Drosophila melanogaster: one gene and its partners. The protein of the gene in region 1 interacts with the protein of each later gene in a pairwise test. Each region holds a gene or a part of one and is shown in the gene's direction. Other genes may lie near its edges. The genes, in order: P5cr-2, CG7379 and CG1635.

Region 1 (3,458 bases):
CCCAAGTTTGAAAACCTAAACTATGATCGAACACGACTGGCCTACTGGTTTTTCTCTCACTGTAGCAGATAAGATAGCGACGTGGCCCTGTGGAATAATTTGCAAATCAATTATACTCGTATCTGGTCGCATAAATACCAATACGTACCGTCCTTCTCCAGAATTTCGAAGCTGTCGAAGATTCTTGTTCGGTGTGTTTATCATGCGATGGATTTCAGTCTCGCCAGCTCGGTTGTTTATTGTTTGCTTTTCTAGTACTGGCAGCCAACCTCGGTAACAAGTGCGTTTTCTAATTGTTGTTGCTGCTGTTACTGCGTTTTTGTTGATTTTTTTTTAAATTGCAATGAAATTGAGTGAGAAAACAACGCACATATACAGGCGCACACGACCGACACCCGCACACACACACTCACACACGTGTAGGGGACAACTAGGGCTTGACTTTGGTAAATTTTGGTAGTATCACGAGCTTACTCCGCTACAGTGGATGCCCCTAATTCGTATTAATCACTTGTGGGGTTATATATCCGGGTTTGGAGCTGGCAATATCTTAATTTAATCTTTTATTTTGGCATGAAGAGTTTAGTGGTACCGTGTGCGGAAGTAAGTTTCATCTCCAGTTTAGTGTTACCAGAGTCTATGTTGGCTTCCTCACCACGTGGTGAAGGAGGGAAACTTTGCTGCATACGGTGAGAAAATTGGATGGAGTGGTGTATGTATCCGCTAATTAACTGACTCTCAAATCTGTGCAATTCTTTGAAAACAGTAAATATAGATCTTTTAGTTTTAGCCGATTTGCTGGACTATCAAATACCCGTTACTTAATGCGAGATATGATAAAAAGAAGAAAGAACTCTTTTCGAAAATTGCTTACTAGGCGGTATCTACTTTCCAACGTATCTAGTATACCCGGGTATGTCCCAAAATCCCTATGGCAATATTTTGTAATATACAAAGTAAATACTTTGGTTTTCTAATGTAGCCCTTTACAAATAAGCATGTGTATATCGCCTCTACTGTTATCACGCTCACATTGATAACGATTGTTATCTCTTAAAGTGCGGAATGTTTTTGAAACTTGGTAAGTAAGGATTGCCAAAGAGTACAGCTATATAGAAATTTATAGAAATGGAATCCAAAACACGAAAGTGGATCAACGCACGATTACAGGGATTACAGGGCATCGGCATCTCGCATTAATTTGGACTTCGTCACGCCGATTAATGGGTGAATGAGTTGCGGATGACAGTTGTTCTAAATGATAAGGAAATACAACGGCGGGCAAAATATTAGCAATCGCGGCACTTGAACTGTATTTTAAACTACATATTATATATAATCAATATTATCAATCAATATTATAATTGATTGTTATATAAGCTGAAATCATAATAACTTCACTTTAAATAATGGGTTGTAATTTATGATCTATTAAAAATTTGTCTCTATCTTAAGTGGATTTTAATGACTATTTTTATTCAAATATAATTCGATTGTAAAACAGCACTATTAATAGTTTAATGTTTTCTTTATTTACAATGTGTGAAAAGTTCTTAGTATTTATTATTATTTTGCCCCGCTGTCGATTGCCGAACCCACACATAGGAACCTCAATGATAAGCTCAGATCGCTGGGTGTGTTGTTCCCTCAACGCAGGGGATTGGGAGGGGGTTGGCCGGGCAAGATTTCTTATCAATCCTCGCGTCTGTTTTTGGTCAACGCCGGCGGCGGGCGCACAGTTGCCGTTCCACCAGCAGAAAGTTCAGTACTCACAGTCCGCGGACTTTTTAACCCATTAACTAATGTCGGCAATCGGAAAGATCGGATTCCTGGGAGGCGGGAATATGGCCAAGGCTTTGGCTAAGGGTTTCCTAGCGGCCGGTGAGAAAGCCACTAATAAAATAGATTTGTAGTCTGACATACTTTGTGCTAGACAATAGATAAGACACACTTGGATATGCAATATATATATGAACTAACATCATCTTATAATTAGATACAAAAGGATAGGACGTTAAGGATTTCATCATATAATCGCCAAATTTCCTAATTCATTTCCTAGGCCTGGCCAAACCCAATACCCTGATAGCCAGCGTCCATCCGGCAGATAAGCTCTCCCTGCAGTCCTTTCAATCCCTGGGAGTGGAAACAGTGATCAAGAATGCACCCGTTGTGCAGCAATCGGATGTGGTCTTCGTGTCCGTGAAACCCCAAGTGGTTCCCTCGGTTTTGTCGGAGATTCAGCCATTGAGCTCGGGCAAACTATTCCTTTCCGTGGCCATGGGCATCACTTTGTCCACCATCGAGTCCAGTTTATCTCCACAAGCTCGCGTCATCCGTGTGATGCCCAATCTGCCGGCTGTCGTGTGTTCCGGTTGTTCGGTTTTCGTTCGCGGATCCAAGGCCACAGATGCAGATGCGGATATTACCCAGAAGCTGCTGCAGTCCGTGGGCACTTGTGAGCCGGTGGATGAGTCCCAGTTGGATGTGGTTACTGCTCTGAGCGGAAGTGGACCGGCCTATGTATTCGTGATGATTGAGGCCTTGGCGGATGGAGCCGTTCACATGGGCATGCCCAGGGATCTGGCCTATCGTTTGGCATCGCAAACAGTCCTGGGCGCAGGTCACATGGTGCGGGACAGTGGTATGCATCCCGGACAACTCAAGGATGGGGTCACAAGTCCGGCGGGATCGACAGCAGCGGCACTCAGACAACTCGAGCTGTCAGGTAAGTTGGGATGATGACGCCGATGACGCACTCGCTTATCGCCGCCACTTCAACCTTTGATGTCGATTGCAGGTTTTCGGGCTGCGGTGTCTGGAGCGGTGGAACAGGCGACTCTGCGATGCCGGCAAATCTCGGGAAAGACGAAGTAGGCACATAGGATTATCATATACATATACGTACATTGGGGTGGGTCAATTTTGTTATTAAAGTTATAGTAGTTAAAGGAAGTCGTTAAATTTTGTTGCTTCTTGAAGAAACATGTTTTTAATTTGGAAATGTATGTTGGTGCTATAGTGCTTTCAAAGAGCAATGATGAGATGTTTCATTTTAATCGACCCACCCTTGTGCTTAATCTGGGTTAGTAGCTTTGCATAACTATAAAAACTGTGAAGGCCGATTTCGTGATACTAAAATATAAGCAACACTGCTATATTCTTTACTCTCAGCTTTGTTTATAGTCTAGCTAAAAATAACTAATTCAAAGTCGAGCCTAGAACTTCTTCTTCTTTTTGGCCCGGGACAGCTCATTGAGCTCGCCCTGTTGCACGGATGCCTCCTGGTAAATGCGCTTAACCTTCTCGTGGCGCTCCTTGTCACTGTGGATATGAAATACAATAGATTAGAAAGGAACGGTTAAATTGTAAATGGAACACAAACCTTTGCAGGGTCTGTTTGAGCCTAAGCATCTGAACGAAGGACGTATCTCTGCGTATTTCTCGAATGGCACCCT
Region 2 (4,353 bases), 260 kb from region 1:
AGGAAGAGATTGGTAAGGTAGATCACGGAGCCAAGGTCTATAAGGTTGTGCTCGGTGAGTACAATAGCCTAAAGGAAACTGCACCAAAGTATTCGCTTTCACTACCAAAGAAACCTCAACTAAGGGTGAGTCCAGAGGAGAAAAACCGAAGGCGCCGCGAAAGGATACAAGCGAAGCCATTGAACTATGTCTGCGACAAGTGCGGCCACACCTTTCGCCAACGCAGTCAGCTGCAGATGCACTTGCTCCGTCACAATAGGGCCAAGAATTTCGAGTGCCCCGAATGCCCGAAGAAATTCTACGATCTCTATACGCGCAACATTCACGTAAGAGCGCTGCACAAGGGCGAGCATCCCTTTCCCTGCAACCATTGCAATGAGTCCTTCGCAAACGCAAGCAGTCGTCACAGGCACGAGAGGTGAGTGCACCTACTATTTGATGGTTCCATCATCTAATCACTTCGATTGACTCCAGGGATGTTCACGGAGCAGGCAATCGGATTCGAACGCGGGTGAAATCAAAGGAAGAGGGATCCAGTCGCCATTACTGCACCCAGTGCACCAAAAGTTATACCAGCAAGAAAGGTCTAGTCCTGCACATGAACTTCCACAACGGAAGCAGACCCTTCCAGTGCAAGATTTGCCAGATGAAATTCGCTGACCCATCTGCCATGAAACGACATCAAGCTTTGCACGACAAGTTTCCCATTCGCTGTGACATCTGCCTAAAGGGATTCCTGCTGCGCTCCCAACTAACAAAGCATCAGGATGTACACACAGGAATGCATCCTCATCGGTGGGTGCAAAAGAGAATCCCGACTACTGTCCGTTTACTTATTTCTTTACTTGATTTATATTGCCAGGTGCGAGATCTGCGATGTTCACTACCGCCATAGATATAATCTAAACAAACACAAAAACACCGATTTGCATCGGGATAATATGCAGAAAGCTATAAAAGAAGAAGTTAATGGACTGCAACAAGCATTTAAAGATATTGATAAGGAAATGGACTTTGAATCTCAAACACCAATGCAGCCAAATGCACAGGAAGTGCGAGCCAGAACTCAGGATGAAAAGACTCAAACTATTGAATATATATAATTTTTATAAAAATTTATATACTTTCATGGCGAAGTACGTAATACTTCTAAGGTGACGTTTAGTAAGTGCCGACATAGAAGATAATGCACGAACAATATTTTAAAAATATATAATTCGTATAATAGTATTATGCATTTAATAACGTTAAGCTTAATGAAGAATAGACTTGACAACCTAAATACAAATCTGAATAGTTCAGACGTATGTTTCATGAAAGGAACAATAAATATTTATATTATTAATATTAAATAATAATCAATTAAAAAATAATATAAGTGCATTTGTTTTTCCTAATTAAAAAATCAGCTGATACTGTTATTTGAAATTCTCCAGTTTCCCGGGCAAATGAGTAAGGGGTTGGTTTTGAACGTTTCCTACACTGGCCGTTGAATGAATGATACATGATTTTAAAATTACGATAATTGTAATAAAATGAATACAAAAAAAGGACTGAAAGTAATAATTAAATTTGTATTTAAAGGGAAAATATTTTTAATACTTTCTATTGCCTAGGGAAATGATGAGAAGATATTTGACCACAAACTATTAAAACCAATATTACTTATTTATTAAAAAATTCAACCGAAACAGCAGTGCCGTTAACCACCCCGATTTCAGTGTAGCAAAACACCAGCCGACTAGTGTTGCAAAGCACAACCACCCATTGTATACATACATATAAATAATACCTACGCACACATACACGCACACACGAGTACAGTCGCAAGTTGCGACTCGCAACGCCATACAAAAAGTTGGAACTGAGTGGAATCGGAGTACTATATAGCCAGCCGATCCCTTCCAGAGCGCCGGAAGAGTAGCTCACATCCGAACCCACGTCCCCGAGCCGATGTCGCGGCGGGAATAGAGCGATTCGCAGTCCAAACACGATGATAAACCCCATTGCATCCGAGTCGGAGGCCATCAATTCGGCCACCTATGTGGACAACTATATCGATTCGGTGGAAAATCTGCCGGACGACGTGCAGCGCCAGTTGTCACGCATCCGCGACATAGACGTCCAGTACAGAGGTGAGTTCTGGCCGAGATTACGCCTGTTGGAAAAGCGGAAAACCTAACCTCCTCTCTTGGTCCAAACCCGTCGATTTGCAGGCCTCATTCGCGACGTAGACCACTACTACGACCTGTATCTGTCCCTGCAGAACTCCGCGGATGCCGGGCGACGGTCTCGAAGCATCTCCAGGATGCACCAGAGTCTCATTCAGGCGCAGGAACTGGGCGACGAAAAAATGCAGATCGTCAATCATATGCAGGAGATAATCGACGGCAAGCTGCGCCAGCTGGACACCGACCAGCAGAACCTGGACCTGAAGGAGGACCGCGATCGGTATGCGCTCCTGGACGATGGCACGCCTTCGAAGCTGCAACGCCTGCAGAGCCCGATGAGGGAGCAGGGCAACCAAGCGGGCACTGGCAACGGTGGCCTAAATGGAAACGGCCTGCTTTCGGCCAAAGATCTGTACGCCTTGGGCGGCTATGCAGGTGGTGTTGTGCCTGGTTCTAATGCCATGACCTCCGGCAACGGTGGCGGCTCAACGCCCAACTCGGAGCGCTCGAGCCATGTCAGTAATGGTGGCAACAGCGGCTCCAATGGCAATGCCAGCGGCGGAGGAGGCGGAGAACTGCAGCGCACAGGTAGCAAGCGGTCGAGGAGGCGAAACGAGAGTGTTGTTAACAACGGAAGCTCTCTGGAGATGGGCGGCAACGAGTCCAACTCGGCAAATGAAGCCAGTGGCAGTGGTGGTGGCAGTGGCGAGCGCAAATCCTCGTTGGGCGGTGCCAGTGGAGCGGGACAGGGACGAAAGGCCAGTCTGCAGTCGGCTTCTGGCAGTTTGGCTAGCGGCTCTGCAGCCACGAGCAGTGGAGCAGCCGGAGGTGGTGGTGCCAGCGGAGCCGGCGTAGTTGGTGGCAATAATTCCGGCAAGAAGAAAAAGCGCAAGGTACGCGGTTCTGGGGCTTCAAATGCCAATGCCAGTACGCGAGAGGAGACGCCGCCGCCGGAGACCATTGATCCGGACGAGCCGACCTACTGTGTCTGCAATCAGGTGAGTTCGCAGTGCTTTTCCTATCGAAAAGCTTCGCCACTAATCACGTTTTCTATTGCAGATCTCCTTTGGCGAGATGATCCTGTGCGACAATGACCTGTGCCCCATCGAGTGGTTCCATTTTTCGTGCGTCTCCCTGGTACTAAAACCAAAAGGCAAGTGGTTCTGCCCCAACTGCCGCGGAGAACGGCCAAATGTAATGAAACCCAAGGCGCAGTTCCTCAAAGAACTGGAGCGCTACAACAAGGAAAAGGAGGAGAAGACCTAGTCTATTAGGCCAGCCTATCCAACCCATTGCTCTGTGTCTAACACCAGGCTCTGTAAAATATTCGATCCTAAGATTTACCTTAATGTATATTTAGTGACTTTCTTAGACCCGATCCCTTTTCGACTTTCCCCTCTTTCACCCAGTTTAGATCCCTCGCTTCTATGGTTATAGGTCGTCAGTTTTCATTTAAAGTTTCTGTACAAACAATATCTTTCTCAATGTAAACACACAAAAACTCGTATAATTAGAGTACACCTAAACTTAATTTATGGTAATAAACGTTGATATTCAAAACCCACAATAATTTCTTGGCCCCAAGGAGCCCGTATCCAGTAGCAGTAGTTTTACGAATCTATTTGTTTAATTGTCGTTTAGAAGACTAAGGCATTCGAATTACACATAAGTATAATTGATCGTGTATAAATGTGTGTAAAATATATAAATTTATATAAAACTATTTGGTAGGCATCTGTGGAATTGTATGGAATTCTTATTGTAAAAAATGCGCATGGACGGAGTTCTTGTTGCGTGTCAAGTCAAAAAGTATTCTAATAGATTATTCGAGCTTCTGTATGGAGGTTCTTCCATCATGGCATGAGCAGCTCAATGTTCGGATTCTGGATCTCCAGGAATATCTGGTACTGCGAGAAGACCACCAGCCAGCAATAGATCTAAGTGGATGAGTAAAATGGGTTTATAAACATAATGATACAGGAGTTGGTGTTGCTGTCCCTTGAATTTCAAACACTTACATTGTAGGCTACCCAAACGAAGTTCAAAAGGGCCGAGAAGGTTTGCTCCAGCTGGCGGTAGAGTAACACGAATTCATTAGCTTTAGTTAATGGAAAAGATAATCGCTACTCACATAAATATAGTAGCCTCCAATAAGCCAAAGGCTCCAGCTAAACTGGAAGAG
Region 3 (4,305 bases), about 14 Mb from region 1:
ATACTGTACTTCGTGTCCAACTATGCTCGTGATGGAGCCGATCAGGTGGAGGCCTCCTACGAGTGCTGGAAGTTTGTCAAGGAGAAGGGCCACCTGATTACAGATCCAAAGAGTCGCGAGCAGGTTGCCAAGGTGAAGCGACGGTATCCTATTCAGAAGACCCAGCACCTGCTGTATGTCTATGGCCTGACCGATGAGAAGCTACTGCGCCAAGTTGAGAACCCCACCGAGCTTATTCAGGCGCTCTACCACCATGAGCTGATCCTCAAGTCCAGCAAAGTGGATATTAACGCTCTGGTCGCAGAGATAGCCAAGCTGCACGACCTCTGCTTAGCCACCATCCAGTACCGCCTGCTACAGAAGTGGCTCGCTCTGACTATGGAGTCTGCGGGTGATGGTACCATTTTGGAGGAGACCTTCATGGAGGAGCAGAACTGGCCGGAGCAGGCCAACGGCGCAGAGTCCTCCAACAGCCAGGACGCCAGCGAGAACGTAAATAGAGCGTTTTACATACTTTCCAGTTGGCCAAAGGCGGAGGCAGTCAAGTTCCTTGTGGGTCTGATCTTCAAGGGCGGGTAAGGATTGGTACTTAAAAGTTAGCGAAAATAATTCATTGAATAAACCCTTCCACCAGTTCGGTAAACACCTCCACACAGCTGCAAATGTACGAGTGCTATTCCAAGCTAAACGATGGCAGCAACTCCTTTACCAACACGATTAGCCAACGCCAGTTCATCAGCATCAAGTGTGTGCACGAGCTCAAGGCTCTGGGCTACAAGTCGAACCTGGAGAAGTTCTCCGACGACCATTGCAACAAGATTGACATTCTGAAGATGATCTGGCAGCGTAATGCGCAGAATCCCCTTTCGCTGGAAGTCATGGCCAACATTTGCCTGGGCTTTGATATACACTTGCCGCAGATCTGGAACGGCATTCTGAAGCGCATGGTCATGTTCCATATGGTGCGCGAGCTGAACGCCTTGTTGGATGTACTCAGCTGCCGGCCGCATCTACTTCACCTGGATGGACTGGCCCAGGCCTGGGACTATGTGCTCTGCCATCCTCTGCAGAACGCAGTCGAGCTACGATCCTTTAAGCAGGAAGAGGTGCTCCACAAGACGCTGCTGCGCCTGCAGGGCTGTCCGGTGGTGCACGCCCTCAACCTGCTACAGTTCGCCCAGCTCTGCATCGTCGTCCATCGACCGCACATGGCCGCCTCTCTACTCAGCTTCTGCCAGAGCAGCGAGCAACGCCAAAAGATCAAAAAGGTATGCTCGAACCGCGCACTTTAACGAAATGCTCTATTGTCACTCTAACTCTTCTTGCAGATGATACATTCCCATCCGGTGGAGAACCTTCGGCAACAGATCTTGGATCTGGAAGATGCTGGTATTTTGCCGGTGGTGCTGAACTTTGCGCTCAAGGAACTAAATCTGTAAGCGTAGAGATTTGGATTTTACTATTCCCATAATTTTTTGTTTTATTGGTCGAATATCTGCGTTAAGTGCGTTCGGGTCAAGATACTTTTGTAAATATCAAGGTTTTATACCTGCAAATATAGTTTATACAAACGATGACTATTTTCTATTTTAATTTTAATATGTTATTTTATATACAGTAGCAATTAGTCAATATTCAAACAGTACAATCTCTTAATTTCATAATTTATGCATCACAAAACAATGTGTTAATTTGAGAAATTGTCTAGGGAACTTCGCTTCCCAGTTTAAAATTAACAACAATCGGGATGACGTCATACGTATGTATCACTTCTGTAAACAGTGGGCTCAAGTTGATGGAATACTGAAAATAATGAGATATATTAGGATTTTTTTTAAATGAAGACTTTGTTGTGTAAAGAACAGTCAGTCTCAAATCAATTTAATTAAAGTAAATGGGAAAAAATTAATATACTAAAGAATCGAACTTTTCGAAATTAGTTGGAGACGAATTTTCTCGAGCCCACTGTACCAGTCAGCTGTGGCCGCCAGCTGTTTTCTATTTGGGGTTAGATCAAAGACAGGTTACACTTTGTATGTAACTTGAAAAGCAAGGAGAAAGCTGCGAAACTAAGTTAAACCGAGATGATGCGTTCTTTGATAGGAGCACAAAAGTGCTGGGGCCTGATCCGCACCAGGAACTTTATGGAATTACCCACCAAACAGGTGCCAGCATCCTTCGCATTGTTCAAGTAAGAGCAAAAAATAAATGATGAGCTTACATGGTAAATGAGTACTTTCATCTCTAACAGGCGTCACTACTCACCGCCCACGCATATCAAGCAATCAGCGGTCGCCAATGAATCCGGAACCATGGCGGAGGGTAAGTGTTGTCTTGCCAGAGTCAAACCCATCGTAATCCCCGAACGTCTGCAGTCAAGCAGGGGATGATGAAGCGATTGGGGCTGGAGCCCGGTTACAACCCGCTGCCCAAATCCAGGGAGCAGCTGCTCAAGTACCAGCCGAAGCTGGAGGATCTGCCTCCAAGAGCTATGCAGGATTCCTTCACCTCGGCCATCATTCCTCTGAGCACGGACCGCAGTTTGCAGGACAAATATGTGACCTATCTGGGCAATGTGCGATTCGGGCGACTTCTGGAGGACATGGACTTGTTTGCTGGTATGAGGAACACATTTGCTGGAATCTTGGCGCACTTTCTCACTATCCGCTATTTCCAGCTTGGTGCTGTCATAAACACCTGGTTCTGCCCAATCTGCCGGAGGGAGTTCATCTGCCGTACACCTTTGTGACCATTCTGGTGGACCGCATCGATTTCACCAATGTCTTGGCTTCAGGCACCCAAGATATCCGTTTGTCTGGGCACGTTTCCTGGGTGGGAACCAGTTCAATTGAGGTGGTAGTGTGGCTGGAACAGATGGTTGGCGGGAGGTACCAAAAGTTAACCCGTGCCTTGTTCCTGATGGCAGCAAGAAACGCTAACAATACCGGAGCGGCTCCTGTGAACCCCTTACAGCCGGCCAACGAGGAAGAGAAAGTGATTCTGGCTGGCGGCGCAGATAGAAAGAAGAAACGTCAGATTCTCTGTGCTCAGTCCATCTTTAAGGTGGAACCCAATGACCCGGAGCAGACAATTATGTACGAGCTGTACAAAAGGACAACTCCCACCAACACTTTGGAACTCAACAAGCGCATCCTGCCACCAAACTGTCGCTGGATGGAGGACTCTTTCCAGATGAGCACTATTCCCTCATTTCCGGAGCACAGGAACCACCACAACCGGGTCTTCGGAGGCTTCCTCATGCGAAGTGCCCTGGAGATAAGCTGGGCAGCAGCCTACCTCTACTGCAAAACGCGACCCAAGCTGGAGCACATATCCGACATCAGCTTCGAGAAGCCCGTCAGCGTGAACAGCTTCATCAAGATGACCGCCTATGTGGTGTACACCAAGGAGAACTACGTGCAGATCATGACCGTTGCAGATGTGATGGACCCACAAACGGGCAGCCAGGTGACCACCAACACGTTCTACTACACCTTCTCGTCTCCGGACACGGTTACCGAGGTGCTGCCCCGCTCCTACCACGAAACCATGTGGTACATCCAAGGTCGTCGAAAGTTCGAGGCCAGCATGGGCCCAGTGTAGACATGGTTCAGCCTGTGATTGTTACTCAAGATATTATGCAAGGCTATCCTACCAGATAAATGCAATTACCAGTTCAGTGTTTACAAAAAGCAATAAATGTCTGTTGTTTAATGATGTGCTTAACCAACCAGCTTAAAACTTTTAAAATCTTCTATTAAACCCTATCGAAGAGTACTAGATTAAATGTTTATTAATATAATAACTGTCAAAATAATCCCTAATTTTTGCCGACTTTACATTTTTTGGATACCCATTACCTGTAATCAAAAAAGCAGAGCTGAAGCAAAATTTATAGTTTTAATTTCGTGTCGGATCTGAGTTCAGATCTCGATCCCGATCCGTTTCCATGGGGCCTGGTCTTAGAAATGTTAAATTATGTGTTGTACCTTTTTTGCTCGGAGCCCGCAGCTGCCGGAGCTTGTTAAAGGCCAGGACCCTCAGGAAGATGACACATAAAAATTCCAGGTGAAGCACCAACACAACTAGCAGAAATCAGATTTTATAGGCCACATTTCTTCTAGCTCTAATGGGCGTAACTCCTCTGCGGACGGTCAATACGCCACTATGACGGAGAGTAAGTACTTCCATTCCAGAAATAGGTGCTACTTGTCCAGATATCCCTTTTAGTCAAGAAGAAGATGCTGAAAAGCTTCGGCCTGGAGCCTGGGTTCACCACGGAGCCGAAGTCCAGGGAGGATCTAC

Evidence for each region.
Region 2: the proteins of P5cr-2 (region 1) and CG7379 interact in a two-hybrid assay, tested with the Drosophila melanogaster proteins (one large-scale study listed by BioGRID).
Region 3: the proteins of P5cr-2 (region 1) and CG1635 interact in a two-hybrid assay, tested with the Drosophila melanogaster proteins (one large-scale study listed by BioGRID).

Annotation. Positions count from the first base shown.
Region 1 is NT_033777.3:17,533,971-17,537,428, forward strand, and holds P5cr-2 (Pyrroline-5-carboxylate reductase-like 2), read left to right. Parts: upstream 1-1,714; 5' UTR 1,715-1,802; coding exon 1,803-1,881; exon of another isoform or gene 1,882-2,062; coding exon 2,063-2,728; exon of another isoform or gene 2,729-2,800; coding exon 2,801-2,877; 3' UTR 2,878-2,953; downstream 2,954-3,458. Other genes in the region: l(3)07882 (lethal (3) 07882), read right to left, coding at 3,219-3,324, 3,386-3,458.
Region 2 is NT_033777.3:17,795,750-17,800,102, reverse strand, and holds CG7379 (uncharacterized protein), read left to right. Parts: upstream 1-1,798; 5' UTR 1,799-1,993; coding exon 1,994-2,135; intron 2,136-2,216; coding exon 2,217-3,169; intron 3,170-3,230; coding exon 3,231-3,437; 3' UTR 3,438-3,727; downstream 3,728-4,353. Other genes in the region: CG17803 (uncharacterized protein), read left to right, coding at 1-418, 475-795, 863-1,103; pasi1 (pasiflora 1), read right to left, coding at 4,025-4,108, 4,190-4,240, 4,303-4,353.
Region 3 is NT_033777.3:31,586,669-31,590,973, forward strand, and holds CG1635 (uncharacterized protein), read left to right. Parts: upstream 1-2,004; 5' UTR 2,005-2,084; coding exon 2,085-2,191; intron 2,192-2,251; coding exon 2,252-2,322; exon of another isoform or gene 2,323-2,375; coding exon 2,376-2,618; exon of another isoform or gene 2,619-2,677; coding exon 2,678-3,603; 3' UTR 3,604-3,724; downstream 3,725-4,305. Other genes in the region: rod (rough deal), read left to right, coding at 1-575, 635-1,268, 1,329-1,439; CG1638 (uncharacterized protein), read left to right, coding at 3,950-4,068, 4,125-4,177, 4,231-4,305.